4 linked regions of the Lepisosteus oculatus genome follow. Each later gene encodes a partner of the first gene's protein in a complex. Links are inferred from orthologs where the notes say so. Each region holds a gene or a part of one and is shown in the gene's direction. Other genes may lie near its edges.

Evidence for each region. The genes of interacting proteins can lie anywhere in the genome.
Region 2: the proteins of pcna (region 1) and fbxo18 are in contact, whole or in part, in a crystal structure (PDB 8F5Q), measured with the Homo sapiens proteins. The link is inferred for Lepisosteus oculatus from reciprocal best matches to the Homo sapiens genes PCNA and FBH1. Residues at the interface, in NP_002583.1 of Homo sapiens: Met40, Ser43, His44, Val45, Ser46, Leu47, Leu126, Gly127, Ile128, Pro129, Ala208, Asp232, Val233, Pro234, Tyr250, Leu251, Ala252, Pro253, Lys254, Ile255; in NP_835363.1 of Homo sapiens: Ser56, Gln57, Arg58, Cys59, Ile60, Pro61, Phe63, Phe64.
Region 3: the proteins of pcna (region 1) and pold3 are in contact, whole or in part, in a crystal structure (PDB 1U76), measured with the Homo sapiens proteins. The link is inferred for Lepisosteus oculatus from reciprocal best matches to the Homo sapiens genes PCNA and POLD3. Residues at the interface, in NP_002583.1 of Homo sapiens: Met40, His44, Val45, Ser46, Leu47, Glu124, Gln125, Leu126, Gly127, Ile128, Pro129, Thr206, Ala208, Asp232, Val233, Pro234, Tyr250, Ala252, Pro253, Lys254, Ile255, Glu256, Asp257; in NP_006582.1 of Homo sapiens: Ala453, Asn454, Arg455, Gln456, Val457, Ser458, Ile459, Thr460, Phe462, Phe463, Gln464, Arg465.
Region 4: the proteins of pcna (region 1) and fen1 are in contact, whole or in part, in a crystal structure (PDB 1UL1), measured with the Homo sapiens proteins. The link is inferred for Lepisosteus oculatus from reciprocal best matches to the Homo sapiens genes PCNA and FEN1. Residues at the interface, in NP_002583.1 of Homo sapiens: Cys27, Asp29, Met40, His44, Val45, Ser46, Leu47, Ala67, Met68, Gly69, Asn95, Ala96, Asp97, Leu118, Met119, Asp120, Leu121, Asp122, Val123, Glu124, Gln125, Leu126, Gly127, Ile128, Pro129, Glu130, Gln131, Glu132, Glu201, Pro202; in NP_004102.1 of Homo sapiens: Arg19, Phe27, Gly28, Arg29, Lys30, Lys80, Val167, Lys168, Ala169, Gly170, Pro188, His208, Ser210, Arg211, Leu296, Lys297, Trp298, Ser299, Glu300, Arg332, Ser335, Thr336, Gln337, Gly338, Arg339, Leu340, Asp341, Phe343, Phe344, Lys345.

What each region holds. Positions count from the first base shown.
Region 1 is NC_090697.1:65,499,243-65,507,212, forward strand, and holds the start of pcna (proliferating cell nuclear antigen), read left to right. Parts: upstream 1-4,954; 5' UTR 4,955-5,148; coding exon 5,149-5,369; intron 5,370-7,405; coding exon 7,406-7,503; intron 7,504-7,764; coding exon 7,765-7,832; intron 7,833-7,970. Other genes in the region: putative aminopeptidase W07G4.4, read left to right, coding at 1-34, 152-333, 2,285-2,419. UniProt on the Homo sapiens protein: Auxiliary protein of DNA polymerase delta and epsilon, is involved in the control of eukaryotic DNA replication by increasing the polymerase's processibility during elongation of the leading strand.
Region 2 is NC_090702.1:43,577,029-43,584,498, reverse strand, and holds the start of fbxo18 (F-box DNA helicase 1), read left to right. Parts: upstream 1-4,459; 5' UTR 4,460-4,568; intron 4,569-6,557; 5' UTR 6,558-6,600; coding exon 6,601-6,629; intron 6,630-7,053; coding exon 7,054-7,214; intron 7,215-7,470. Other genes in the region: ankrd16 (ankyrin repeat domain-containing protein 16), read right to left, coding at 52-94, 1,207-1,427, 3,477-3,814. UniProt on the Homo sapiens protein: 3'-5' DNA helicase and substrate-recognition component of the SCF(FBH1) E3 ubiquitin ligase complex that plays a key role in response to stalled/damaged replication forks.
Region 3 is NC_090700.1:1,978,510-1,985,527, reverse strand, and holds the start of pold3 (DNA polymerase delta subunit 3), read left to right. Parts: upstream 1-4,007; 5' UTR 4,008-4,144; coding exon 4,145-4,201; intron 4,202-5,026; coding exon 5,027-5,082; intron 5,083-5,505; coding exon 5,506-5,608; intron 5,609-6,065; coding exon 6,066-6,105; intron 6,106-6,365; coding exon 6,366-6,498; intron 6,499-7,018. Other genes in the region: defbl1 (beta-defensin-like 1), read left to right, coding at 1,554-1,608, 2,013-2,133, 2,591-2,615. UniProt on the Homo sapiens protein: Accessory component of both the DNA polymerase delta complex and the DNA polymerase zeta complex.
Region 4 is NC_090699.1:14,454,829-14,462,071, reverse strand, and holds the start of fen1 (flap endonuclease 1), read left to right. Parts: upstream 1-4,232; 5' UTR 4,233-4,388; intron 4,389-5,412; 5' UTR 5,413-5,438; coding exon 5,439-5,520; intron 5,521-6,649; coding exon 6,650-6,752; intron 6,753-6,841; coding exon 6,842-6,944; intron 6,945-7,243. Other genes in the region: tm9sf1 (transmembrane 9 superfamily member 1), read right to left, coding at 547-750. UniProt on the Homo sapiens protein: Structure-specific nuclease with 5'-flap endonuclease and 5'-3' exonuclease activities involved in DNA replication and repair.

The sequences.
Region 1 (7,970 bases):
CGCAAGGCAGGCAACGCCCACCAGTGGCAGCAGGGTGAGAGGCGCCGGCGCTGTGAGCACGTCTGTGCTTGATCTTGTAGCCGTGTCGCGCGTCGCAGACGACCCGCGTTTCCTCTCCCCGTGCTCAATCCTTGTCCTTTCTCTGTGCCAGCGGGGGAGGTGCTGGGCGACGTGTTCGAGGTGTCCATGATCCGCCGCGATGATTTTGAGTTCCACCGCGGGAAGTCGGAGTACGAGGATCTCCTGCAGAGCAACAACCTGCCTTCCACCCTCACCCCCCGTGGGCACCAGACCCCCGCGGCCTTCCTCATCATGGCATCAGGGCTGGACAAGGTACACAACACTGCACAGAACACACGACCACGCACACTACACACCAGAGCCCCGCGGCCTTCCTCATCATGGCATCAGGGCTGGACAAGGTACACAACACTGCACAGAACACACGACCACGCACACTACACACCAGAGCCCCGCGGCCTTCCTCATCATGGCATCAGGGCTGGACAAGGTACACAACACTGCACACTACACACCAGACCCCCGCGGCCTTCCTCATCATGGCATCAGGGCTGGACAAGGTACACAACACTGCACAGAACACACGACCACGCACACTACACACCAGACCCCCGCGGCCTTCCTCATCATGGCATCAGGGCTGGACAAGGTACACAACACTGCACACTACACACCAGAGCCCCGCGGCCTTCCTCATCATGGCATCAGGGCTGGACAAGGTACACAACACTGCACAGAACACACGACCACGCACACTACACACCAGAGCCCCGCGGCCTTCCTCATCATGGCATCAGGGCTGGACAAGGTACACAACACTGCACAGAACACACGACCACGCACACTACACACCAGAGCCCCGCGGCCTTCCTCATCATGGCATCAGGGCTGGACAAGGTACACAACACTGCACAGAACACACGACCACGCACACTACACACCAGAGCCCCGCGGCCTTCCTCATCATGGCATCAGGGCTGGACAAGGTACACAACACTGCACACTACACACCAGACCCCCGCGGCCTTCCTCATCATGGCATCAGGGCTGGACAAGGTACACAACACTGCACAGAACACACGACCACGCACACTACACACCAGACCCCCGCGGCCTTCCTCATCATGGCTTCAGGGCTGGACAGGGTGCACAACACTGCACAGAACACACAACCACGCACACTACACACCAGACCCCCGCGGCCTTCCTCATCATGGCATCAGGGCTGGACAAGGTACACAACACTGCACAGAACACACAACCACGCACACTACACACCAGAGCCCCGCGGCCTTCCTCATCATGGCATCAGGGCTGGACAAGGTACACAACACTGCACAGAACACACAACCATGCACACTACACACCAGACCCCCGCGGCCTTCCTCATCATGGCATCAGGGCTGGACAAGGTACACAACACTGCACAGAACACACGACCACGCACACTACACACCAGAGCCCCGCGGCCTTCCTCATCATGGCATCAGGGCTGGACAAGGTACACAACACTGCACAGAACACACGACCACGCACACTACACACCAGACCCCCGCGGCCTTCCTCATCGTGGCATCAGGACTGGACAAGTTGCAGAACACACAACCACGCACACTACACACCAGACCCCCGCGGCCTTCCTCATCATGGCATCAGGGCTGGACAAGGTACACAAAACTGCACAGAACACACAACCACGCACACTACACACCAGACCCCCGCGGCCTTCCTCATCGTGGCATCAGGACTGGACAAGTTGCAGAACACACAACCACACACACTACACACCAGACCCCCGCGGCCTTCCTCATCATGGCATCAGGGCTGTACAAGGTACACAACGCACAACCACACACACTACACACCAGAGCCCTGCAGCCTTCCTCATCATGGCATCAAGACACTGGGACACTGAGCAAACAACACTGTACTATTCACACCAGACTCCCCTGCCCTCCACATCACAGTGTGTGGGCTGGACATCGAGCACACAACAATCCACACATTAAACAACTGTACACACACTACACACCAGACCCCCCTGCCCTCCACATCGCAGTGTCTAGGCTGGACATCGAGCACACAACTGTACACACTACACACCAGAACCCCTTGTCCTCCACATCGCAGTGTCTGGGCTGTTGCATTGAGCTTTTGTAGATAAGACTCATAGAGAAAACGCTCTGGATGTAGGATCCTGGGATCTGGACTTGGGGAAACTCTGCTCTGTACTGACATGTTCACTCCTCCCTCTCACCCGTAGCACGGCACGGACTCCGAACAGCCTCTGCGTTACTCCCACATCGACATCGCCGGCTCCTCCGGCCCTTTCCCAGGAATCCCGACCGGAGCGCCGATCCTGGCCATGGCCACACGCTACGTCCTGCCCTGCCTCTGAGTGTCTGTCGGAGCAGAGTGAATGACAAGACGTTTTTGCTGTTTGTACACGTAAACGGTTCGCAGAGCGTGTGTGTGTGTGTCCGGAGAAAAACTGGATCCTCAACACGATGCAATAAAAAGGCCTAAATGATGAAAGTGTTTTCTTGATTTATGTTGCGTGTTGCTGGTTTATCATCTAGCATTATTTTTCCAGTGTAAGCACTTGTCTAATGACTTCATTTACTGCAATTTACCGAGTTTACAAAAACAGAACAGCACTACACGTACAAGAGTAACACCGTGTAAATGCACCTAAAAAGGTCCGACTTGCCTTGAGTGTACACTTGACAGTGTACCTTAGTTCTGCAGGAACACAACTAACAGTTGCAATCGTGTGAGAGGGGTTGCAGTACTCCTACAGTCCTTTCTTATGCCATCAGTAAAATGTTTGAACTAGCTGCTGTTTTCCCTCTCCCGAACAATGCAACTCATTGGTGTAGTTTTCACACCAGTCTTCATCACTTTCCTTAACCAGTTGCGCCTGCTGTCGCGACGACCTCGTCTTCTCCGTCCACAGGTTTGAATTTCTCCCATCGGCGGCACAGTAAGTGGTATTAGTAGCTGAAGTTTCTTCTCTTCCAGTTGCTGCCCTCATCGGTGAGTCCCAGAAATCGGGGCTTGTTCCTTTAGGCCAGGCTTTTCTTAACCGCAAACTTCACACCTAGATGTGGAGATCCTTAACAACTGCTGTCCTGTTTCTGATCTCCTTTTCCTACCCAAGAGTCCTGAAAGGGAGGTGTCGGCTCAATTGCAATCTTCCGTGGCTGCCAGTGAGATCCTCAAACCTTTTCATCCAGGTTAAAGTAAATCGGTTGTTAAAGTAGTTAATTCATCATGGCTTGAACTTGGGGTCACTCCATAATCTTCTCCTGGTTTAAAGTGCTGCGTTTTGATACTGTCAATCGCTGCACCCCATGGGACAGCATGGGCAAACTCCATCAGACATTAAACCTTTCTTGTATCCACATTGTACTGGAAAGGACTACAACTAAGATCAATTTAATGGAAAAGACCAAGATGTTGCTCAGTGTAACTGTGACATGACTGAAATTATGTTCAATTTAATTGACAAGACTGAGATTATGCTCAATTTAACTGTGACAGATGGAGATTTATGCTGTTTGATTGAGAAGACTGAGATTATGCTCATAGGCTCCCAACCTGAATTTTGTAGACCTGCTGACTTCGGCGGTGCTGTGGAAATTAAACCTCAGAGGGATGATGGTAACCACCAAGTTCCTTCTGCCCCTGTGGTATCTTTTACTACTCATCAGCCCAGGTTTGGAGCATCACGAGGGCATCTTCCTCCAGCAGAGCTGGGTGCCTGCAAAGCCCAGCGTCTTCTGAACAGTCGCTGTTGCACTGATGGTCTATCTCACGAGCTGCACAGCTGTGATACATCTAGCCAGGCTCAGAGGGGGGTATAGGTATCTGTACCTTCAGTGTAATCATAAAAGACTTCAAGAAAAATGAGGCATATGTCCAGCTCAGAAAATAATTAGGCTAATTGTTTGACTGCTCAGGTTGGAATACAATCTAGATGCCAGCACCCTCCAGAAACAGAGTTTGAGACTGTAGACCTTGCTGATCCTGGAATATTAATACATCTTTTAGTTCATTACTATTAGACTGCTGTGCTGATCCTCTCTCCCTTTCTCGTCTGTTTGTGTCTCACTTATTAACACTCATTAAAAGTGGGTGTAAGGACAGGAATCCGAATGAAAAGAGTAGTCGCTGGTTTCAGGAAGACAATTTCTTTTGATATTTTTGTCCAGTTGTCAGAGGTTTGATGAAAAGCGCTCATTTAATTGATTAAAAAATATATTTTTTAGTTTTACCTATCACGGAATACTGTACCTTTGCTCTGCATCCCTGATTTTACATGAGAAAAATACTAATCAATCACCTTAAAAATCCTTTACTTTCAGTTCTTACACATTTTCTTTTCCAGCACTTTATGCCTATTCTAAATGTGGTCCAATGTGTCAACAGGCCATGTTTTTACCGCCTGACTCAACAAACTCCCTTGTGCGTTTCAGAACAAAAAAACATAAAAACAAATTAGCGCCCTTTTAAACTACACGGCACTTCCTCCAGGGGTCGAGTCGGATGGGAACCCAGTCTGCGAGGAGGCTCGCTGAAGTGAAGGGTAAACGCGGAAAAGCCAGAGCCAAAATGGCGGATACGGGTGGGCGGGCTGTCCCCGACCGTCTCCCCAGCGGTGATTGGCTGATCTCGGTGTCATTCCCAGTGATTTGCCGCGCTCGATTCTGGGTGCTTCGCCTCGTCGGCACGACCGACTGAGGACAACATCGCACTTCATAATGTGCTTGTTTGACCCTGGGTATATAGTTGACTACCTCTGATGAAAATCGCAGTGTTTTAGTCGTCTCTATGCTGCGCGCAAACCAAGGCACGCGCGTCTTAGCCAATCATCGCCTGGGTGACGGTCGGGGTTTCCCGGATGTGGGCGGAGGGGTTGTAGTGACGTCAGAGGAACAAGAATAAAACTCGGCGATTCCCGCCAGCTCGTCTTTGTATTTCAGTCGCCGGAGTAGCAAGCATAGTTAGTGCTGCTGCGGTTATTTAGCCAGGAGTCAATAACTTTGAGCCTGACGCTTGAGGAACCTGCGTTTCCACCCATTTCTCTTTTTGCACGCCCACGCACACACAGGTCGTTCCTGCAACATGTTCGAGGCTCGGCTGGTCCAGGGCTCGATCCTGAAGAAGGTGCTGGAGGCCCTGAAGGACCTGATCACCGAGGCGTGCTGGGACATCAGCTCGTCCGGCATCTCGCTGCAGAGCATGGACTCCTCGCACGTCTCGCTGGTGCAGCTGACGCTGCGTAGCGACGGCTTCGACTCCTACCGCTGCGATCGCAACCTGGCCATGGGGGTGAACCTGAGCAGGTGAGCTGAGCTGGGCCGAGCCGGTCCCGGGAGGAGGTCTCGTCCGCGGGCAGCCCTCCCGCGCGCTGCTGTCCGACACCCGGGTTCGGATCTTGCGTATCTGATGCATTATTGTATTTTCCAAAGCGCCTGTTAACACGGGTTATAAAGTGCGCTGTCGATCGGCTCTTCACATTGAGTTTTAGAGCGGTGAAGTCGTTGTAAATAATTACTGCGCGCCGTGGCGCAGAGGGAACTAGTTTTCGCGGGTGCTGGTCAGTAAAGTAGTAGTAGCCCATTCCCCCGTGACCCGGGTGTCTTGACGTTTCCCCGGACGGTGCTCTGTGCTTGGAGTAGTAGCGCCGCGCCGGGCATGTCTGTACATGAGCGGATCTCCGGACTGGCGCTCCGTCACCTGACTGAACCGTTCTGGGAATTTGAAATGACTAAAATAACTTATATAATATACAGCGCTATTGATCTGTTGCGTTTGTTTTTTTTTTTCGAAATAGCAATCCAGGATGCGTTAAAGAATAATAAACGGTGCATCGCTGTTATAAGTTCATAAATGTTATCCCTGAGGTCTGTATTTCAGTTCCGGCTTTTTTAACTTGAGCACTCAGCCTGTAAATCACAGGGCGTGTAGATGCCCTGTTTTGCCCCTTTTAAGTTTGTGTCAAAGTGAACTCGGGCGCCTGGATGGTTTTTTTTTGTTGCTGCTCTGGCGCCACGAGTTGGGAAAACGGAATAGGAAATCAAAAGGCGGCATGGCTGCCCCTGCCCCGTGACGTCACTTCGGCGCCAAATTCGCAAACGGGGGTCTTGTTGGCGGGAAAGTACAATGTGCTCTGCGTGCAGGGAGAGACGCAGCCCTGTAGGTCTGAGCATGATCAGCGTCTCACTTGTTCGAGTGAGTGTCAGTTTTTAACATTTAGATTCAGAAGATCGATGCCATAAAATACTATATGCGATTCTTCAGAGATTTGTGTGGCATACAGGCAGCCCGATTTGCGCACAGAAACTTCCAGAAAACCGTACAAACAAACATTTCAAACGAATAGAACATTTCATAAGCAGACAGAGCCCGTAAATTTACTCCCCCTGCAATGGCGATGGACGCGTTGTAGATGATACATGAATAATGCACCTTCGCAGAACAGAGGCAGGTGTCCGACAGTTCGCTGTGCAGGGGCAGATCACCCTGAGGGAGACGGCCAGGAGCAGCAGTTCAGTGTCCTGTCTCGGGATGAGAGAGATGTGGGCTCAGGTGGCATGTGGGGTGTTGATTTGGGACATCTCTCCGATGACCTGCTGCTAGTCACTGTAGGTGAGGATTTTTTTGGGCTGACTAGATTTTAAAATCCCCCTGATGGTCAATAAATAGATGAACGGCGTCCCCAGACGTTGAAGAAGTTCAGGCGGGGAGCTGCGTCGGCATGGCTGGGCTGCAAAGCCGCAAGTCAAGGTTAGATAGATACTTTATTGATCCCGTGAGGGAAATTGCAGTGCAACAGCAGCTTAACACACACAACACAGCCACAGTGTAACGAATTATATAATAATAGTACAATACATACAATACAATACAAGAGTTACTCACAGTCCGGACACACAAAGAACAAACTAGAACAGAACAGTACACAGAAAAATCGTATCACACATATGAATATAAATATAGATATACATATAAATGTATTGCACAGGTCCCTGGCATATATTGCACAAAAAATGGTTGTAAACGGGGGAAAAGAAAGAGAACAGATGTAGCAGTAGATGCGTTTAGTCCAGAAACTTCCTGTTGATTCCTGTGCTGAAAAGGAAAAGAGACGAGGGTCTGGCTGTGGAGCCTCATTCACCCTTCAGAAGGCTCCCGAGCCGAACTTGTCTCTTCCAGCGCGGAATAAACCCTTACCTCTTGCTTCGCTCCCGAACGTTTGCGAAGGGGCCCGTCTCTCCGGGATGTGGGGGTGGCGGAGAGTGGCAGCTTTGACCCGGCAGGTCTGGGGGGGCCGGACAGTTGCGGGGCCACTCAGGGACGCTCTCTCCTGTCGCTGCAGCATGTCGAAGATCCTGAAGTGCGCAGGGAACGAGGACATCATCACGCTGCGCGCGGAGGACAACGCCGACACGCTGGCCCTGGTGTTCGAGACGCTCAGTGAGTGGGTTGTGAGCTCGGGGTTGTGGAACTCCCTTACACAAAGGGGGGGTGGGAGTGTGGAACAGGCGATGGTTATCGGACAGGATCAGGTAGCCGCTGCTAACTAGTCCGAGCGGCCTCTTCCTGTTTTCGGCTTGTATCACCGGGCGGGGTTGGTGATGGGCTGTGCTCGGTGCTGTGATTTTGCTCCAGAGGACAGTGGAGCTCACCCTGGGGCGCCAGGAGCTTGACTCTCCCTCTCGTCTCCTCCCCCCCCAGATCAGGAGAAGGTGTCGGACTACGAGATGAAGCTGATGGACCTCGATGTGGAGCAGCTGGGGATCCCAGTAAGTGCCCCTCTCCTGAAGAGGGTCCCGGGCTCGTCGGTGGTCCTGTAGTCCAGGTCGGCGCCGAGGGAGCAGGTTTTTAACGATCCAGTGATTAGAACGCTAGACTGATCGTTTAAGTACAAGCCCGACCTATTT
Region 2 (7,470 bases), on another chromosome or scaffold:
TAGGCTTGTTTGTCTGTATTCAAAATGTGAGCAATCAGTTATCAAACTTACCTGTCGAGCAGTATATTAACAACCTCGTCACATCCATGCATTGCTAGAAAGAAAAAGTAGGACTTTAAAATAAATCCAGAATAATTCTGTTATTCCATTCATAATGGAATTCATAATTCCAATGCATTCTGAAAAAAAATGCTTTTGGAGGCACAAATAAGACAAACTGTGATACCTTTGCTATTTAGAACACATCAGCTTTAGGTAACACATTTAACAGATTTAATTTACAGTACTTTCTTATATCTACTGATATCCACCTGACCTCAGCTTTTAACTTTCTGACCTCTGTTAGCTCTGCTATCCAACTCTGCCTTTGTTTCCAAAGCAGATGTCATAAATAGGGTTTGTTTAACAGATGTACAATTTTCAAAACCAAAGCTCAGAGATTATTGAACTATAATTTTCAAGACATTCATATCAATTTATTCCCCTTCCTAGATGCTATATTGCATACAGCAGCTTAATTTCGGCAACAGTGAAATCCTCTGATTCATGAACATTTCACACACTGACGGTTTCTGAATTTGTGCCTGCCTTTCAGTACTTACAGGGACTTATATGCATTGATTACCCCGAGCAGCGTGACATCATCTGTATTTTTCCAGGCTTAGCTGTTTGTTTTGGCAGTTCTCACTTTTCTGATTTTTTTTCCAAGCTGCTGTTTGCCTCCAGCAATAGAATTAGATTTTAGTATACAGATGATCAATATTTTGTGTTTATGTAATATATACCACTTATCTTTAGACAACTACCATTAGGACAGTGATAAGATCACCCCCAGCTGATCTTATCACTCTCATTCCCCTTTTCTCCCCCTTTAACAGTCTTAATCTTTGATCTATTTTTAATTTACTTTGAATAATGAATAATTCTATTACACTCTTTAAAAAGAACATAGATACTTAGCGCAGGATGAAATAATTCATTTGGAATACATTACACCAAGAGCTGTAGACTTAACACATTAGGATAACTACTTATTGGAGAACAACAAGATCCATAGATAGGGCATTTTGACTAAAATTATCCCCATCTAATAATACACATAATTCTTTATTGTCAATCTTTTAGGTACTGCATGAAACCGTCTTTGTACTCATGCCTATGAAGAAGATAAATTTGAGAAGACAGATCTGTTCATTCCTGATTTACCTGCAGTGTGCAGTGGAGTTCTGAGAGTCTTGCTCTCCGTCTTCCACACTCCTGAGCAGGTGTCCAGCAGGTACTGTATGACCCAGGGATCTCCTTCTCGGCATGCAATGTGGAAAGAGTTCCAACCATCTTTGTTCTTCAGCGCTGGCTTTGCTCCATTTTCAATCAATTCTTTGATAACATCAAGGTTTCTCCTTGTACAGGCCATCATGAGAGGCGTCCTGCAAGGAGAGAAAAACTAACGATGTGTTAAATTCTTAAAAGGGACTATAATTTGGATTACAAACATATTAACATACTGTAGAATGACCCACATTTACACAGGTTTTAAGATTTTTGGTGGGTAAATAATTCTTGATCTGATATTTTTTTAAGGCAAAACACATTTCAATCTGGTTTCTACGTGATCCAACAAGTAAATGTGCCCATTTGGAGCACAGCTTTGTGAATGGGATTCGCAATGGTGTTGCACAATTCGGCACTGCTGGATTCGCATGACCTTGAGGCAAGAATATCATCTACATGATGCTACACAAGGGTGACCTACTGCATGTGGCTCACCAACTGAGTGTGAAGTGCTACTCGTGAGAACTGCATCACTGACTTGTCTTATTGGTGCTGTGGGCTGAAATAATAAAAAAGAACCACTTGACAAGAATGTGTTTTTGAGTACACATTTGCAGCAGTTTCTGTGAATAGAAAAGGCCTGTACTAATCAGCCACATTGACTAGACTTGGCATTGCCAAATGGACACCACAGACAATAAGTAACTTCTACTTTAGTTTAGAATAAAAAAAAAACAAAGAATCATCAGGTGCTCTTAGAACTTGAAATTCTATTTATTACCATGAACGCAAGCCTATATGCTAATTCTTGCATACTAATAACTCATGTTATTAATGCCAAGGGGCAGATGCTAACAGCGTGGATCAGTTCTTACAGCCTGAGCAAATTACAAATCCAGGGCTCGGGTCTTTATGTTAAATGTTAAGGGGGCATTGTGCACACATTGCTGGATATTCAGAATGAGAGATTAAGAGTCGAGCAGACTCCAGGTTTTCTTCATGTACCAGATTTGTTCAGTTTGGTTTCTGGAAGGTAAATACAGAAGTGTCGTACTCTTGTTATTTTTCTAAACCGGAACAGCAAGGGGTTTGCGGTTATTCTTCAGGAAGCCCCCTGGTGGACAACTATGGACTAATTTCTCATTTCATCATGTTTTAAACATATAACAAGACCGTATAAGTTTGTTTAACAAAATGTAGGCTACTTTTAACAGCCATTTAGCTATAACATTTTTTAAAAGTTAGAACTGTTTTAGTTAGGAACAAGTAAAGATTAAATCTCTGATGAGCCCTCTTCGGGTGTGACTAAACCTGTTTTGTACATATATATAGTCTCTCTGTAAGTGGTGTGTAACGCCCTCGCCTGGTGGTGAGGAGGAAGCGCCCCTAGGCGCTCGTAGTACCGCTGGGCATGCTGGGAGTGGTAGCCGGGGAGAGTCTGAGGGTCAGCACGATGACCAGCGGCTGACCCTACCTGTGTAAATAATGTCCTAGTAGTTCTAGTGCCCTGTGTAGTCTTATAAAAGTATAGCGTGTTGTTAAGTAATTACCACCCTAAAGTTGTGTACGTGTTCCGTCAGTCTCGTCATGTGCGTGTATATCCTATGTTTTATTTTGAGTGGTTGTTAATGAATAAAGTTAGTGCTTGGTTTGTGAACCGCGTCTCCACTGGTCCTTTTTGCTGAAAAGAACCTGTAAACGCTACAGGTGTTTGTCTACAATATACATCACTAGTTAAAAAAGTCTCCCAAATTACGTCATTCACTATTCATCTTCACTACTTACTCTGACATGATGAATTATTGTCAGGCTGTATGCAGAGAGTGATCCTACTTGCACCTTCAATCAAAATTCATGTAAGTGCTAAAAAATCATCAAGGTTTATTTATCAAATGCACATCAATACAGCATGTAGCAGTAGTTACTGGCAATGAAATGTCTTTTCTATGAGCTCACCGGGGGAGATAAAAATCACAAAAATAAGATTACATAATAATAGATAATAATGCAATAGAATAAAATAAACTCAGACAAAACGCAATATAAATAGAGCTGCTATGTGTCCAGAGTGTATGCAGTCTACTGTATTATGTCCAAGTACTGCAGTATGCCGAACACGATGAAAATGAGCTGCAGGTTGGCATTTCCAACAATAACACAAACTGTGGTTGTACGACCTGATTCATCATTAATCAAAGTCTTACCAGTCTGCCTTCTTTAAACGGTCTATATTCGCCCCTTTCGCAATGAGATACACCACGCATTCCCTGTGACTCATTGACGCCGCTTCGTGCAGAGCCGTCTTATAATCGCTGTTATGAAGCTCTATGTCCAAACCGGTGTCTTCCATTAAAAACTTTAAGACTTCCAGGTGACCGTGTCTAGCAGCATAATGTAGCAACGTGTCTCCAGATTTTCCGAAATGTTTCCTTTTGATCAAATTCCGAATGTTTTCCTTTTCACTTAACACCTTTCTGATTAGAGACAATTGTCCCTCTTGCGTTAACTTGACCAGGTATTTGAGTGTATCTTCCTCCCCCATATTGTAATAAAAGTCAATCAACTAGTTTATTGGCAAGGTGCATCTATTGTTAAAATACAAATTTGTGATTATACGAACTTTAACATCTATTTTTCCCATTGTGATAATGTAACTCACTGGAAAAAATAAAATTGCACATGGGACATTTCCGCTTTTGTAAATTCCAGTTTGTTAGTTCTTGATTGCTGCACGGCGTGTATGCTAGTATGTCACCCAGAAAAGGTAAGTTAAAAATGCTTATTTCATCTTTTCATTGCCTATCGTAATACGACTATTTTAGATACATTGCAGTTCAGATGCTGGCTAGTTAAGTTACAAGCCGGGTCAACAAAAAATATCCCTGCGTTATACACTGACAGTTTTACTATACGAAATAGCACTTCGAGCAGAAAAGCGTCTTCACCACAATGCAATTACTAACAGCTATAGATCCAAAAATGAATATCGCATTTGGATGTATCTTCCAGTTTTCCAACAAAACGTATTTTTTCTCCCAAGCTAAACCGTTTGATCGGCGCAGCAAAAGCCATGCCGTAAGTACGACATTACTACGTCAAGGAAGGCGGGTAAAACAAGGAAAACGTCACCTATCATAGGCTCAACCTGCATGACGAAAGGCGTTCCCATTGGTCAGTCTGGGTGACCCGCAGTTGGAAGTGTGGTAAACGTCATATTGAAAGTGGAAGGGAAACGTCTTTATTGTCAAGACTGTAATTGGTATTATTTATTCACAGCAGACCATCAAAGTTTACAGGTGAGGAAACAAAAAATATTCTCTAACCTTGTTTCGTTCTATGTTGATTTTTAATTGTTAAAAGGGTTATTTATTTTGGATTTTGGCATCCTTAAAATATTGTCATCTCTGGACTTGCTGGAATTGCTGCTTATCAGACTCCAATGAAAATGTTTATTAGTTCTAGTTTGATTCGGAGTGAACGCCTAGCTGACAGTCACGTTGTTGTGTATTGGCCTATTGAAAGTATAAGGCTTGAAAATAATAATGTAACAAGAACTAGGCTGCGATCAAGTTGGCTGATGTTTTCCTTGGCAGGAAAACAAAACTTCAATGAAAATGTCACATTAATGTGTGAACTGCATTTAGGCCTAAACAGTGATTAAGCGCAGACATGTCCACTGAGATGAAAAATAGTATTTGTAACCTCTCCGTTACAACTGGGGAGAGCGTGTGCATCCTACAATTAAATGCATACTCCTTGTATGTAATTAAGTTGGTTGTACCAAGGTTACAAAAACAAATACAAAGTTTCGGGATTTATTTTTGAAAAAATAAAATATTTTCCATCAGGTGACACGGTGTCGCAGTGGTTAGCAGTACTGTTTCTTAGCGCTGGGCTCCACTCCTGCTCTGCTGTCCGTGTGTAGTAACTATCTTCTCCCGGTGGTCATGTGGGTTTCCTCCAGGTGCCTCAGTCTCCCCGCCAGTCCAGAGACATACTGGTAGGTTAACTGGCTTCTGGGAGAACTGGCCCTGGTGTGAGTGTCTGTGTGCCCTGTGATGGACTGGTGTCCTGTCCAGGGCGTACCCTGCCCCTTCACCCGTTGCTTGATGGGATAGGCTCCAGCTCTGCTGTGACCCGGAATGGGAAGAAGCAGTTAGAAAATGAATGCATTTTTTTTTGTAAGGTGTGTTTTCAAAGTTCACAGTGATTTTTTTTTTCCCGGTCTCCATAGCAATGAACAAAAAACACTTAGACACTGGTTTCTATTCTTTTAAAAAGCAGGTACAGCACCTTTTCCACATTCAGTTTGCGCAATACTGGCAGGTCAACCTAAAGTGTGCTGGCCCTGTCTGTCACAGATGTAGTGCCAGTGTCTTTGGGCAGGCCTGTGTTACACACTGTTAACTGATTTGCTTGTGACTGGGAGTGGCATGGCACCTTTTTGTGGCAGGTCTGCTTGCTGCCTTCTGGTGAATTTGGGTGTAGACTGAGGTACTTTTAACAATTTTTTAAATGTATTACAGTATAACATTAGTACAGCCATCACCTGAACGTGAAGCAATTCCAGTGCCACACTGCACTCAGATTTACTGTTTGCATGCAAAGCCATTCCACAGCTCTTTTGTGCCATAAACACAAACGCATAACGCATGCTGACGCAGCTACCCACCTAAGGTACTTTTAGGTCACACTTATTTGCATTCATTGCCAAAGATTATTTTTTATTCACCCAAGCACCTAGCTACTGTGACACAAGGTTCAGTGGCTTATGCTGTCCTGCGGAAATTTTCGTTTAACTCCCCATGTGAGCTCCCAGTCTCTGTGTGATTTTTACTTGTGTTGTTATTCTGTTTTGAAAAGTTAAAAAAAAAAGTTCAAACACAATTATGCAAAGCCGAAGCCTTTAGACATTTCGGTTTTGGTTATGCATTAAGACTTAAGGGGCAAGCTCTGTGTTTATGGCACAAAAGAGCTGTGGAAGGGCTTTGCATGCAAACAGTAAATCTGAGTGCAGTGTGGCACTGGAATTGCTTCACCTTCAGGTGATGGCTGTACTAATGTTATACTGTAATACGTTAAAAGAATTGTTAAAAAAATGTAGCATGGTATAGCTATTTTGAGATTTGTGAATTCTGTTGTTGCAAACTTTTTAATATCCCCTCTGTTTTAGACATGGCTTTGCATACTATTTAAACATGCCAGTTATTTTGCACGCTAGTTAAACAGGGCTGTGTGATCAATCAGTGCAGGCACTGCACTATGTCACTCTTGGTTTGCTCCAGGGTCACCCATGTGTTCCGCGCTGGTGTTTTGGACGTCACCACCATGAAGCACCATGGAAACGGCAATCAGAGGTAACTACGGTTTTTTCCCCCCTTTTGTTTTTGTAATTGTAGTGGTATATAAAGCTGTGGCATCTAACTTACTGTTATGTTATTGAGGTTAACGATTCCATAAGCCTTCTGGGTATTATTAAAATAAGCTGTATGTAAAATATTTGGGAATGTTACCTTTGCCTGTTTAAACATATTAATTTAACCATTAATGTAAGTGATCGAAAGCTTAGATGGAATGAACATCACTAGTGCGGGATTTAGACATCTTGCGTTTTTCCTATGTTTAGACTGCCTAAGATTCTTATTTTTGTTTAATCCCTCCTCACTTTTCCAAACAGGCATTACAAAGAAGGGAATATGATATTGTCTTGTAGGGGTTCAATATGTGGTTTTCCAGTACAGTTTGACCCATTATAACAGTCGCAATACCTGGTCTGAGCAGTTTGTTTTGCTCTGAGCTAGGGAAGGCCAAAAGAAGGCACTTGAGTGCTTATGACTGTGCAGTCCTTGAGCGTAGCCTGCAGGGGAGTCTGTCCCTTACCAGGCCCTTCAGCACACCTCATACCAGCAAGGCTCTCCACAGGGGACTTTACCCAAGGAAAGGTACTGTGGTGTTACTTTATTAGCTGATTACATTTTTCACAAGATAGTTCTGGCATTCCTTCTTTAAGGAGTTGACTGTAAGATTAAATATTTTCACTATGGTAGAAACTCAGTGGATTATATGTGTATACTAGCGTATATATAAATGGACTGTAGGTTATATATATTTATCTTTGTATATTATGTAGATGTATGAGTGCAAGGCTGAAGAGATAGACAATAGTTAAAAAAAAGTAAAATGTTGAAGTCAAAGACC
Region 3 (7,018 bases), on another chromosome or scaffold:
TTTCAGCAGGTCAAAACACAAAAACACGCCGCTGTTTTCATAATACCATAACTCACACAAAGAAAAGGCTATAAGACAAAGACTCCAAATTTCATTACACAACTACATCTACATTAGATCGAATCGAATTTTATATCATTATAAAAAAAAAGTTCCAGTGTGTGATTTTATGCAAAGCACTGTCATTTGATAAAGTACATGGTATTTAATTTTAATAACCCTGACGACAGACCGGGAAAAGCAAGGTCTCAACCCCTGAGTTGGTAGAGATTGTTTATGGTTACTGTACCAGATCGGGCCTCGAAACCCGAGAAACTTATTTTCCTACTGGAAGTTGTTTTTTTTTTCTCTCCTCTTCGTCCACACAGTTAACAACATAGAAAACAGCTGACCGTTGAGAAGTAGGTTATATTCAATAAAAAAGTGATTAATCACAAGTGAAATATCAAGGCCCGTGTTATTACTTCGGCTCAGAATAAAACTTATGATGAACTATATTTATAAACATCACACACGCTGAGGTGTGTGTATAAATTGTCTTCTAAAGTAAAATTATATTATTTACACAAGACAAATCTAAGGCAAATTTGTTTTTAAAAACCGACAGCACAAGTAGACATTTAAAATATCAACTTAACAAAAAAAACCATGAATAAATTTAGATGAGTTAAATCAAAAAGAAACTTACCTACAGTATTTTTGCTCGGACAGACTTATCCGTCCTATGGATGCCGCCATACTCTGACAGCTGATCCTCTGAAATTATTAACTTTATTGACAAAACACAGTGTTTTGACACTACTGCTGCACAGCGGCAGGGGGTGGCGCTGTTGTGGTGACGTCAATGTAACTGGTCTTGTCCTGCTTATTTCAAGTTTTAGAAACATAGTATACATTAGTAGCTGTTTATTTCTAATTAAAAGTTTTTTAAGCTTTCGGGCTTTCCATGCAATTGTTTTGCCTGCATCGACACACGGTAGATCTGGGGGAATAGTTTAATCATATTTATTATATTTATTTATAATATTAATATCAATAAATTAAAGATTCAGAAAATCAGGAAAACGTTCAGAAAACGTAAAGGCTATTTTCTGTGTCAAATGGCCTAAGGCCAATGATCTCAAGTCTGCTAATCTCACTCTTAATCCGTTTACAGAAAGAGCCGTGTGAGAGTGGCGCTGTGGACCAGACACAGTGAGAGGTACCATGTGTTTGTCATCGGGTGAAACTTATTTTCTCCACATAGAGTCTTCTGTTCTCTAGAAACCAGTGTCCCATGACACTGTATAAGGACATGCTGCCAAGAACGCGCTTAGGAATGAAGGCCTTGTTCCTACCCCAAACCTAATTAGGAATGGCCTACAGTTATCACTCTTTCCATTAAACTACTGTACCTTTTGAAGGTTGCCCGTGGTTAACATAAATACTGACTTCTAACAAATTCGATTTACTCCTCCTTCCCTAGTACGTAACTTTTCTAAGGAGCTATAAAAGTTCTCAAACATTTTAGGACTTGTAGCAAAGCACTGAAGTGTCATCAAAAGCAGGCAGCCATGAACTGTCAGCGCTTGGTCCTTTTGGTGGTACTGGCATTTCTAACCATGACGCGTGAGTTCTTCTAACTATCGCTTATTGTGTTATTTGGGTTTTATATAAGAAAACTTTGGCGGAAGGAGAGAACTGTTGTCTGTAGCATTGATGATTGCAGCACAATATGTTAAGCATTTTCATGGCTTGAAAAGATCACAGGCTCAGCAGAAATGTTAAAAATATTGTAGTGCCGTGAAAATGTCCATGATCTGACTAGATTACTTACTGGATACGCTGCTATTCATTTCTTCCTTATAAAGTTCCCATTCAACCCCCACATGAAGTTTTGAAAGGTTTGAACACAAGCTAAACATTGACAATATATTGAGTGTTGTACCTGTAGTTACAGTACTATGTTAAATTTTGTTTTAAGACAAACGAATCTGAATCTTAAAAAACAATCTAATCCTCTTTTTCACCAGATGGGGCTGAGGTGGGATCCAGCTTTCCTTGGGGGTGCTCAAATTACAGCGGGGTCTGTCGTACTGCATGTCTGCCTCAGGAGTTACCCTTCGGACCTCTGGGCTGTGACAAAGGATTTGTGTGAGTGCAGGCGGCTCTTGTTGCGTTTCTTCATCTACAGCCACATGCGATAAACAGACCTGGCTTCAACGTGCTTGGACCCTCCAAAAATAATAGCTTTTAAAACAGGTTCTCCTCTCTTTAGCAAAAAGCAGCTCACCACTAAATTCTGTTCCTTCCAATCAAGTATATTTTAGCACAAGATCTCAGAAATGCTCTTTATGAAAAAGAGATGGCGCAAAATGAAGTATTCCAGTGTCTTAATGTGTTCGAATATCAAGTTTTGTGAACGGTGTTACTAATTGCGCCCCGTTCTCAGAGTACATGCCAGTTGTCATAGCCCTTACCTCTCTGGTATTGAATCAATGGACAAAACAATGTCAGAAGAGACCAGAACCCCCGTTTCAGTTCCAACCATGATCAAGTGCTGCTTAAAGTAGTTGTTGTACTTAGTGCTGTATTTTTTTTTTCAATTCAGATGCTGTGTGTCTCATATCTTCTGAGGACCAGAAGCTTCCATTTTCCAGCTGGCTTCTTATCGCTCAGGATTTCCAAAGTGAATCTTTAAATATTGAACATGGCTGTGTTCCTGCTTTGTTTTCAAGTCATTCACGATACTAGCAGTATTTCAAAAGATCCGGTGCAGATATTCCATTTTCCCATGTGTCTCATCCTGTCATTACCAGAGCATTTTCTTCCCCATGTTTTTCCTGTAACCAATACTGTAAAGTTGGGGGGCACCTCTGTTTACATGTTAGGACAATAGTAGTAATATACTGTCTCAGTGAAGCTTCTTGCTTGGAACATATGCAATGTTTGTTCATTACAAATCCCAACATAAAGAAAATAATGTCTAACATAGGTCAGACAAGATTTATTTGTTCATTTTCCAATGTACTTGTCTCTTTCTAAAGAAGGAAATCGCAGAGATCTGAATAAGTCATTTATTTTTGTGAGACATACGGTAACTTATACACCTTTACATATACCTTCGTAAAAGGGCCCAGTGCTTTAGACCATAAAGCTTGTAGTATTTATGTTTTTTAAAATACCATCTGAGCTGGGTTTGTGTGATTGCATTTATTAAAATGGCCACTTTCCATTTAGTAAATACTTAATGCTACAATAAAAATAATTTCCCTTTTTTTCTCTTTATTTGTCTCTCAAATTTCTTTCTCCACAATTGTGTAAAATTCCGTATACATTCACATTTATGTAAATGAATGGTTATTTTTTTGATGATTGAGTTATGCCACCATCAGGCCTCAGGTAATTCATTTGTTCACATTCAGTTTCTGCTTTGTTCATGCTTCAATCTGAAGAAATGTTTGGTAATGTGTAACAAATTGCTTAATTTTTTAACATTCTGGTCTGAAAAAAAAACTAGAATGGAAAAAGTATTGATATTAATAGAACTCTATGCTACATACTGTATATGCAAAATAATAATATTATTAATAATAATCATCATCTCAGTCCTTAATTACTTTTCTCTAAGAGGACTAGTAAAACCTGCTTTACATAATAAATAATATGTTAAAAGTTTTAGAGGTAATTAGAATGTTTCAGAAACTATTTGAGTGAAGAACTGCAGGCATCAACGTGAGAGCTGCACAGCTGAACTTGCAGAGGTCGTTGTCACACTGAAAAGTACAAGGAAACCGCGAAAGTTTCGACAGTGAAACCGGGTTAAAACGAAGAAGAAAAAGAAAATGCGTGTGGAAGATAAAAGGGGGGATACAGAGACGAAAAAGCAGGCAATGGATTTAATGGAAAGCTGCGATTCTCGGTAAAATGGAGTTCGCGGCAAGGCGAAGTGGGAAAGGTAATTTTGACCCAGGCGGGCCCCCGTATAGAAAGTTGTTTACCGTTTCTAAGGGAACGACCTCTTCACCTTTGAACTCCAGTCTCGCATGGGGACGCGATGAGGAAAAACAGAGCTTGAGAGTCTTTCCCGCCTGAAACAGGGAGCTCGGCTCGGCAGAGTAGGGGTGGTGCGAATACGACCCGGACAGACGACGGAGTGGGCGCTATGGATGACCTCTACTTAGACAACATTGATGAATTTATCCATGATCAAAACAAAATCGTGAGTACGGGTTTGTTAAGTGGATTCATTTTCCGCGCTCCCTTCAGAGCCTGAAGGTCGCTGTTCGTGCATTTTGCTAAACTGCCCACGATTCGCGGTGGTCGGGCGCATCTATCGACATAAATCAGCACCTACATCCTCAAGTTAATGGTAGTCGCTGGCGATGAATGAGGGAGACGTTTCTGTTTTCTACAACACGTAAACAAGCGTTATGCTACATCTACGAACAGCGGCAACGGCGTGAAACGGCCAGCAGGCTTTTCTGCGTTGTGTTACAAAGACGGAAGCGGTCTCCGAGAATTAGGTGCTGGTGTGTTCAGTGTTGGCTGTCGAAAACGGACACGTGGTTAAGCTGAAGTTTCAAACAACACTAACGATAGGGGAAGGACATCTGACATGAGTTTGTCTGAAAGCCTAGCGACCTGCGGCAAATGTCACGTACACCTATGTACCGAAAATACGTCAGACCTCACGGCTGGCATCGGCAGTATTTTGAGTTCAACAGAATAGCATGAGATCTGTAGTCCACTAATTTCAATACCTGAAGGGTGTTCTGTAGAGTTTTATTAATTGAATGCCATTTGTTCTATGTGTTGGTCAGAAATGATCGAGGGAAATGTTTATTGGACTGCACCTCGTCCTGGGCCACCCTTTCATGACTCTAAGCTTGTTAATGAGACTTTCTAAATTCTTGCTTATTTCAGACAGTCCCTCAGCTCTGAGTGAGGCACCCATTCAGATTTCATTAGTGGGTGATTCTTAAATGAATGCATGACAGCTACCTTGTACTGTTACAATATTCTTGACAGTGCTTTTTTCATTCAGGTTACCTACAAATGGCTTTCTCTCACCTTGGGAGTTCATGTCAACCAGGCAAAACAGTAAGTGACATCCCACCCTGTATCACTGTCACAATCTGAATACTTCCCTCCTTTCATTTTTAGTATATTGTGTTTATTCTGCTTGCATTTTGGAGATTGTCAGTGCAATTTGTGTATTCATCACTGAGCAAGTTAGTTTAGCAGGTATAATCAACGGACTGGGTGCATTTTTCTCGTTAGGTAACAACCTCCGCTTTTATAACAAGGTTAAGAAAAGTCATGTAATTATACTTCAGTTTGAAATCAGATGTTAGGGGCTGGAATCTGGTGTAATGCTTTTGTGCAGTGAGTTTTCTGTGGATAACAAATTCACATAAAAGCGCCTTTGCTGTGCTCCAGGTTTTTATGTAACTTATTCTCATAGAAATCCCAGTAATATGCAGCTATTGTATTTGTGTACTAATTCAATGTTCTTCATTTTAGAATGCTTTACCACTACTTAGACCAAAAGAGAAAGGAGAGCTCCGGGTCTCAGCTTCACGCCACTTACCTGGTGTCTGGTAAACTGACGGAGAATGGCAGCACGGTGAGCAGATCAAGGCATGGATTTGAGGAAGAAACACAACCGAGGAGATGATCTGTACAGGCTGCCGCAGGGCTACAGCGCCTCGAACGCCTTTGGTTTCCGTGACACAGCCTCATTCGCCGTACTGACTTTGGAAACACGAGCCTGGTCCTACACGTGTTTAATAAGAAAGTTTGCAAATAAGAGGAGGCTCTTAGTGGCTAATTGATCCTAGCATCTCACGCAGCCATTATTGGGAAGAAGCAGTGGGATGGGCTTTGACAGCGTGGCTCAGGTGCTTCCTGTTCTCCGGACCACAGGGTCAGAGCACATAGTCGCGAAGAGAGGAGTCTTGGTCAGGTTCGGTGGTATAATTCAGCACTAATTGATCTGAGAGGAATCTTTTTTTTTTTATCTTTGTCCTTCAGAATACCTATCAGTCTCTGAAAATTGTGGACTAAAAACTGTTTCTTTGCAGAGTCACAAGGTGGCAGTAGTGAGAGAAGATCAGCTCGAAGGCAAGTTGGAGAAACATTTGGTTTTATTTAACCTGGTTCCAGTTCTGACTCTTAATGTTTGTTACAACCTAGACCGGGTCAAATCTGTGGGGCCTACAAAGAAATCTGAGTTCCCCGCTCTTAAGATTTTATTCAAAAGCAACTGATGTTTCAGGTTAAAATCTCTTTCAGTACAAATGACAGGAATGCGTTTTGGTTTTGCCTGAGCTTTTCTTCCCTGGAGTCTTACAAATGTCCTTTTTTTAATTGACTCTTTACAGCTGTCAAGTCCAAGATGGTAGTGATTGCCAGTGTGCATGTGTACAGCATTCAGAAGGCGGTGCTGAAGGACAGTGGGCCTCTGTTTAACACAGATTACGATGCTGTAAAAGAAAATTTAAAGAATTGCAGCAAGTAAGTCCTGAATAAAGAATTAGAGTCGTGATCATCCTACACTGACAGACTGAAGGAGCTGAAGTTTTGGTTTTAGTCTTCGACAGAGAAGATTGCGGGGGGACCTGCTACATGACCTACATGGTCAAGCCAGTGGATTTCTTCAGAATGGACAGTGAAGAGCAAACCAGAGGGCTCCGAGTGTAGACTATGTGGAAATGCATTTAAAACCAAGAAGAGGAGACGCATCTTTAACCATAGGGTTACGGGGGAAAATAACCCAATCATGTTCTTTTAAGAAGCATGTCAACAGTTAATTTCTGAATACCTAATGCTTCTCTCGTTTGTAACATTTCTTATGTTCTTTATGATTCTAGTTTGACTTTATCTTACTGAAGGGCACAAAACAAGTTATATACTGTAGTGATGATCAGAAAAAGTATAGTGCAGTGTGGAGTGCCGTTGAGGGCTCTGGATTCACAGCTGGAAGATTACGTGTGCCGATGGCAGGTTTGGCTCTGCTGTTGTGCTTCACTCTGAT
Region 4 (7,243 bases), on another chromosome or scaffold:
CCAATCAATCAAAGTTGATTTCTCAAAAGCACAACGATACAGCCTGCAGCAGTAGCTGCTGGTAATGAAATGTCTAGTAGTTAGGGAGCTGCGTCAGCATGCGCAGGCTGCAAAGGAACAAGTAAAGGTTTATTCCAGGCTGAAAAGAGAAGAAAAGAAACACAACATTTCAGTTTCTGAAGAGCTGTGGAGAAGGCTCCACAGCCGAAACGTTGCGCTTCCTTCCTTTGGCACATATTGCTCACACTCTGCTCTTCCTTTACACCAGGTGCACTGGTGCTCCACACACCTGCCAGATTCTGTTCTAGACGAGCTCTCACTTTGCACAATCGGGCTCTTAATTGGCCTAGACATAGGATCAACTGAAGCTCTTTACTGGTTTTCAGTCTTGGGGGACTTAAGAGCTCAAAGCCCACCAACTCACTGGCCGCCGAAACTTGGATTCACTAGTTCACTGAAGGATCAGAAGAAAGACCAGCAGGTGTGGGCGTCACCAGGACCAGGGCTGGGAACCCCTGCGGTACACCTTACTCACAGTTCACTCACCTCCTTGGGCCTGCACACTGGCAGGGTGTAGTAATGGTAGGTCTCCTGGGGGTTGTGGTAGGGGCCAACCTTGTTCACATACAGGGTCACGGGGTCGCCCTGCTTGTAGGTGGCTGCCCCGCCCCCTGAGGGGAGGAGCCAGCAGCTCAGCAGACAAGCCCACAGGCCCCCGCCAGCCAATCGCAACCCCAGTCTTATCATCATGACAGCCTCTGTGAGAGGAAGAGAAGGGTGACTATAGACATCGTCAGTGACCACTGCCTGGACACAGAAACCAGACACAGGCAGAGCGCACAGGCTCAGTGACCACAGCCTGGACACAGACAGACATTGCTATCCAGAGAGGACAGGCTCAGTGACCACAGCCTGGACACAGACAGACATTGCTATCCAGAGAGGACAGGCTCAGTGACCACAGCCTGGACACAGACAGACCTGACTGTCCAGAGAGGACAGGCTCAGTGACCACAGCCTGGACACAGACAGACCTGACTGTCCAGAGAGGACAGGCTCAGTGACCACAGCCTGGACACAGACAGACATCGCTGTCCAGAAAGGACAGGCTAAGGGACCACAGCCTGGACACAGACAGACATTGCTGTCCAGAGAGGACAGGCTATGCTCTCACTGCCATCAAGTTAAAGCAGAGCCAGAGATCCCCTTTCTGCTGCACTGTGAGAAACACTGTGAGATAAGCCAAATATTCCTCCCTAAAATAACACATCTAATCCCAGAATTCCCACACCTGCCAGAACCAGAACAGCCTTCAATCCTACTGGGAGAAGAAACTTAACAGAGCTGCTGCCCAGCACGTGATCTCCTGTCACAGCCTGAGGAACAGAGAGTCAGCCTACTAATAATATTTCAGATGGGTAGCTGCGTCAGCATGCATAGGCTGCAAAGGAACAAGTAACAGGTTTATTCCATGCTAAAAAAAAGAAGAAAGAGAACACAACGTTTCGGCCGTGGAGCCTTCTTCAGGTGTGAGCTGAAGAAGGCTCCACGGCCGAAACGTTGTGTTCTCTTTCTTCTTTTTTTCAGCATGGAATAAACCTATTACTTGTTCCTACTAATAATATGTTACTGTTGTAGGTATTTGTACTAATTGTTACTGCTTTGGGAACACTGTAACCATGCCAATAACTCCCTGAATTAAAGAGAGACACAGACTCAATGCGCACACTGGCTGTGGTGTTACGTCTGAAGGCACACTGTCTGTCCGTTAAGAAGGTATTTAGAGGAACCTGTATATCGAGTTCTACAAGACACAAACCATGTTGCTGCAGACACACTGACTGACCCCTCCAGGACCAGGACTGGACAGCCCCGCTGCAGACACACTGACTGACCCCTCCAGGACCAGGACTGGACAGCCCTGCTGCAGACACACTGACTGACCCCTCCAGGACCAGGACTGGACAGCCCCGCTGCAGACACGCTGACTGACCCCTCCAGGACCAGGACTGGACAGCCTGGGTTCAGACACACTGACTGACCCCTCCAGGACCAGGACTGGACAGCCCCGCTGCAGACACACTGACTGACCCCTCCAGGACCAGGACTGGACAGCCCCGCTGCAGACACACTGACTGACCCCTCCAGGACCAGGACTGGACAGCCCCGCTGCAGACACACTGACTGACCCCTCCAGGACCAGGACTGGACAGCCCCGCTGCAGACACACTGACTGACCCCTCCAGGACCAGGACTGGACAGCCCTGCTGCAGACACACTGACTGACCCCTCCAGGACCAGGACTGGACAGCCCTGCTGCAGACACACTGACTGACCCCTCCAGGACCAGGACTGGACAGCCCTGCTGCAGACACACTGACTGACCCCTCCAGGACCAGGACTGGACAGCCCTGCTGCAGACACACTGACTGACCCCTCCAGGACCAGGACTGGACAGCCCTGCTTCAGACACACTGACTGACCCCTCCAGGACCAGGACTGGACAGCCCTGCTGCAGACACACTGACTGACCCCTCCAGGACCAGGACTGGACAGCCCTGCTGCAGACACACTGACCGGACCCCAAACACATTTGGGAGAGACGATTGAGAGACACCAATTACCCTGTGTGGACTCAGGAAGACCATACAGACTCCACACAGTCCCTTACCAACAAATATCCAACTTGGATACACAGACAGGTCACGAGAAGTTGTACACGCGGCTTAATCACTCATAAAGGAAAACTACATTCAATTTTTTTTTTTAAAGACGAAGAACAAAAGTCCTTCTGTAGACGGAACATGAAATGCACCGATCCACAATTTCACCCGCTCACATTTGCAAACACGGGGAGGGTTCCCGAAGGAGCCGGCACCGACAGCGGAGAAGAGCTCGGGTTTGGAAAGACGCCCCGCCGTATCGACAGAGGCAGAGACCGCGCAGCCCCGCGGGCAGGTGAGAACCGGCGCCTCTGGAGAAGGACAAGTCACTCTGCGTCCAGCCCGGCCAGGCGCAAACACTCTCTCCCTCCGCCTGTCCCGACCGAGAGAGAGAGAGAGAGATTGCCAGGCGCTGCTCCTGTACGTCTAAAATCGCAGCGAAATGTTAGGCTCGTACCCCGGCCCGTTTCCTCGTCCCCGTCCGTTCCCCGGGGCTGCCCGTTTCAGCTGCCGGAGAAGCGGGCTCCGACTCCGGCGACACGCCGCTCGCAGTCCTCGGTGTGTGTGTGTGGTGTGTGTGGGGGGGTGCTGCGACCTGTTTCTTCTTCTCCGTCTTCCACCAAGGCCAGGGCCCCGCGGGATCTCGGATGTCGCCGGCTGGTCTCAACCCGAGCTGGGTTCCGCGGCAGGCGCAGAGCAGACACCTAATCCACGTCAACTTCCAAACAAACACCTCCAGCCGGGCTGTTCCGGGTGGGGCGGGGCCTGCCCCGAGGACGTCACCACGGAGGAGATAGGTGTGTGTGTGTGACGACGCCAAAGGGGCGTGTAGGTGTGGTGGCCATATTGGTAAAGGAAACTTTTTTTTATTGTAGCAACAGAACTACATACACTCATTGCAAAAGTACATACAACTTTATCAGGAGTACTTAATACAGTTGTATTTTACCCCCAAAAAAAGATTAAATGAGGTAATTAAAGATAAGGTACGCACAGCTTTCGTGTTTTTACATTTGGAAATAGTCTGGAGATATGCTGTAAAGGAAAGTTTTCATTTAGAAAATAAGTTAGTGAGCTATCAAACCGCAACAGATTAATAGAGAAGACGCTCGCATCACCTCAGGCGATTTCTGGTACATTTGTTCCTTCAGTGACACTGAAAAATACTATCTATTTAGAAACTTGAAAATACAGCTTGTTTTGAAAGCTATGATCATAATCTTTTATAGGAATCAAAGCTGGTGAGGGTTAAGACGAAATTCAGATTTTGATTGTGATATTTTTTCAATTTTTAGATTAAAAAAAAAGAAAAAAAGATACTTGTCCTTTCGGTAACATTCTCTCCCATTACCAAAATGGCGCCTCAAAGGCTTCAAGGCTGCTCACGGTTGGAGCGAAAGCCTTTGCAGGCATAACATATCGCGTATCGAGCCTTAGCGCCACACGTCAATGACATTAAAAATGGCATCAATGTTGCGTCGATCGACGCCCTTTCCTGGATCACTCCTCGTCAGGCAACACCAATCAAATGCAACTGATCGATCCCCCTGACTCGAACGTGGACTCGCTCGACGGTCGATGAGAGATGCTTGGTCGCCGAGTTTCGCGCGAAAGCGACGCATGGTATTGGCGCGGTAGCTGCAGCCGGGCGTGAGAGCAGCACTCGGGCACCGCTGTTTGCCGAAAGGGCTGTGGAAGGAATTTCGGAAACGACATAGTGGTTTGGTAAGGATGATGCTGTTTATCCAGAAGCGGTCCCGCCTTGTGTCCCAGGAGTAGCTGCAAGAGGCGCAGCGCTGAACCCGGGGGGTGAAGCCCTTTTGTCCGCGCTCGTCTCGTCCAGCACGGAGCTGGCCCCACTGTCCAGCGTGCGGCTGTGTTTTCGGGTTCAGGGGTGATGATTTGTGTGCAGGACCGGCTGGTGGGAGCCGTGGCCGCGAAACGCGGGTTCAAGACCCCCCGTCGAGACCCGCACGGGACGGACGCTGATGCTATCACTGAACACAGTTGACTAAAAGGCTTTTAATTGTAGAAGATGATGGTTTGGAGTCTCGGATTTGAAAACGGTCGGGGAAAGGTGACTTTGCTATCCTTTCGGAGACAGTTCCAGAGCTTAAGGGCGCAGGAGGAGAAGTGTCTGTCACCCCGTGTGGACGGGCTCGGGGCACAGACAGGAGCCCAGAATTAGAAGAGCGAAGGTCGCGAGGTGGGGAGTAGGGCGATAATAGCTCAGACAGGTTTCTCTCCCTGTCTCTGTGTCTGTGTCTCCATGGAGAAAAGCTGGGGTATGCGAAAAGATGCATTCCTAATGCAAGAAATTGTATAGGGCTAATAAAGAAACATTATCATTATAAAAAAAAAAAAAAAAAAAGGTACTGACGTGCCAAGCCATGCAGAGCCTTAGAGGTGAGCATGAGGATTTTAAAGTCCACACGGAATTTGACTGGAAGCCAGTGCAGGGACTCCAGGACAGGAGTGATGTGATCACTTGCACTAGACCGGGGCAGGAGCCTGGCTGATGAAGTTTGTTCAGGGCAGCCTCGGGGTACCCCAGCGAGCGGGGGCGCTGCAGTAATCGATTGTGGGGGGGAAACACCAGCGAGGGGTTCGTCTGGCCCACCCACGCAGCTGCAGTCTGCGACGACGCAGGGCGCAGCCTGGCGACGGGCCCCAGTGAGATCCGCGGGCCGCCGGGCTGTGGCGTGCGGCGCGCGACGGGGCTGACGGGCTCGTTGGTTTCGCCCCCCAGGGTCCCAGGGAGCCGCGGCCGTCGCCATGGGAATCCACGGGCTGGCCAAGCTGATCGCGGACCAGGCGCCCGGCGCCATCAAGGAGAACGACATGAAGAACTACTTCGGTACTGACCGCCTGCCGTCTCCCGGGCTGTGGTGAGAGGGGTGCGCTGTGCCCCCCGCTGTGAAATACCCCCGGGAGCTGAAGTGCCCCGAGTGGCGTGAGGGGAGGGGGGGCTTGTTGTCTAACGTTGTGAGCATGTTGTGAGAACCTTAAGCACTAGCCGAATATCTAACCAAGATAAATAACAGCAAAACGAACCAGACCCTGATGAAGTACAGGCTCAGTGAGCACAGCCTGGCCACAGAAACTGGGCGACACAGGCAGACCTGACTGTCCAGAGAGGACAGCCTCAGTGACCACAGCCTGGACACAGACAGACCTGACTGTCCAGAGAGGACAGACCTGACTGTTCAGAGGACAGCCTCAGTGACCACAGCCTGGACACAGACAGACCTGGCTGTCCAGAGAGGACAGGCTCAGTGACCACAGCCTGGATACAGACAGACCTGACTGTCCAGAGAGGACAGCCTCAGTGACCACAGCCTGGACACAGGCAGACCTTGCTGCCCAGAGAGGACAGACCTGTCTGTTCAGAGAGGACAGCCTCAGTGACCACAGCCTGGACACAGGCAGACCTGGCTGCCCAGAGAGGACAGACCTGGCTGACCAGAGAGGACAGGCTCAGTGACCACAGCCTGGACACAGGCAGACCTGGCTGCCCAGAGAGGACAGGCTGTGCTCCCACTGCCAGCGGGGAGAAATAGAGACAGAGGTGCACTTCCTACTGCACTGTGACAGATACTCTGGGATTAGAGAAACATTCTTCCCAAAATTCAGAAATCTAATCCCAGAGTTCCCACACCTGCCAGAATCACAACAGGTCCCAATCCTACTGGGAGAGGGAGGAGGGAACTCAGTTGAACTGGCAGCCCAGTATGTGATCTCATGTCACAGCCTGAGGAACAGTGAGTCTGTCTCCCAGTAATGCTCCATATGTTTATATGAAAATATCTTATGATGTGTCTTTATTGTAAATGTCGGTAGATTGTTTTATGTTAATTATATTTGATTTGCTTTGGTAACACTCATCTTACTCATTTGTCATGCCAAAAAAGAAGCTTGAATTGAATTGGAATTATCTTTCATGTCGGTGTCTCTGTGCATCACTGTTTCACGATCCAACCCGATAGGCCGTAAGATCGCCATCGACGCATCCATGAGTATCTACCAGTTCCTGATAGCTGTGAGACTGGACGGCAACGTGCTGCACAACGAGGAAGGAGAGACCACCAGGTAAAAAACCTGTCTCACTGCCTACCTGTTAATGTACTGGAGTGTCCAGTCAGTGTGTCTGTATTCACCCCTCTCTCTGTTCCCGTCAGTCACCTGATGGGAATGTTCTACAGAACTATCCGGATGTTGGAAAATGGGATCAAGCCTGTCTATGTGTTTGATGGCAAACCACCAGAGCTGAAATCTGGAGAGGTCAGAGGTCGTCGCAGCCTGTCTGTTTTGCTCTCGCAATAAGAATGAGACAGAGGACTCACTCCCCCGACCCGCTGGTGTAGCTCGGGATTGTCCCTGTTCTGAGATTCAGATTCAGTCTGTGTCCTGAGTGGGTATGGACAACTCTGGACTCTGCTCCACAAGCATGTCTGTCTGATGATCCCTTGACCTGCAGGACAGAGGGGTCGCAGTGGGGTCAGGGGCACTGGAGTCGTGGTGAGGGGCAGAGGGGTCACAGAACAGAGGGGTCAGGGGGCACTGGGGTCGCGGTGTGGGGC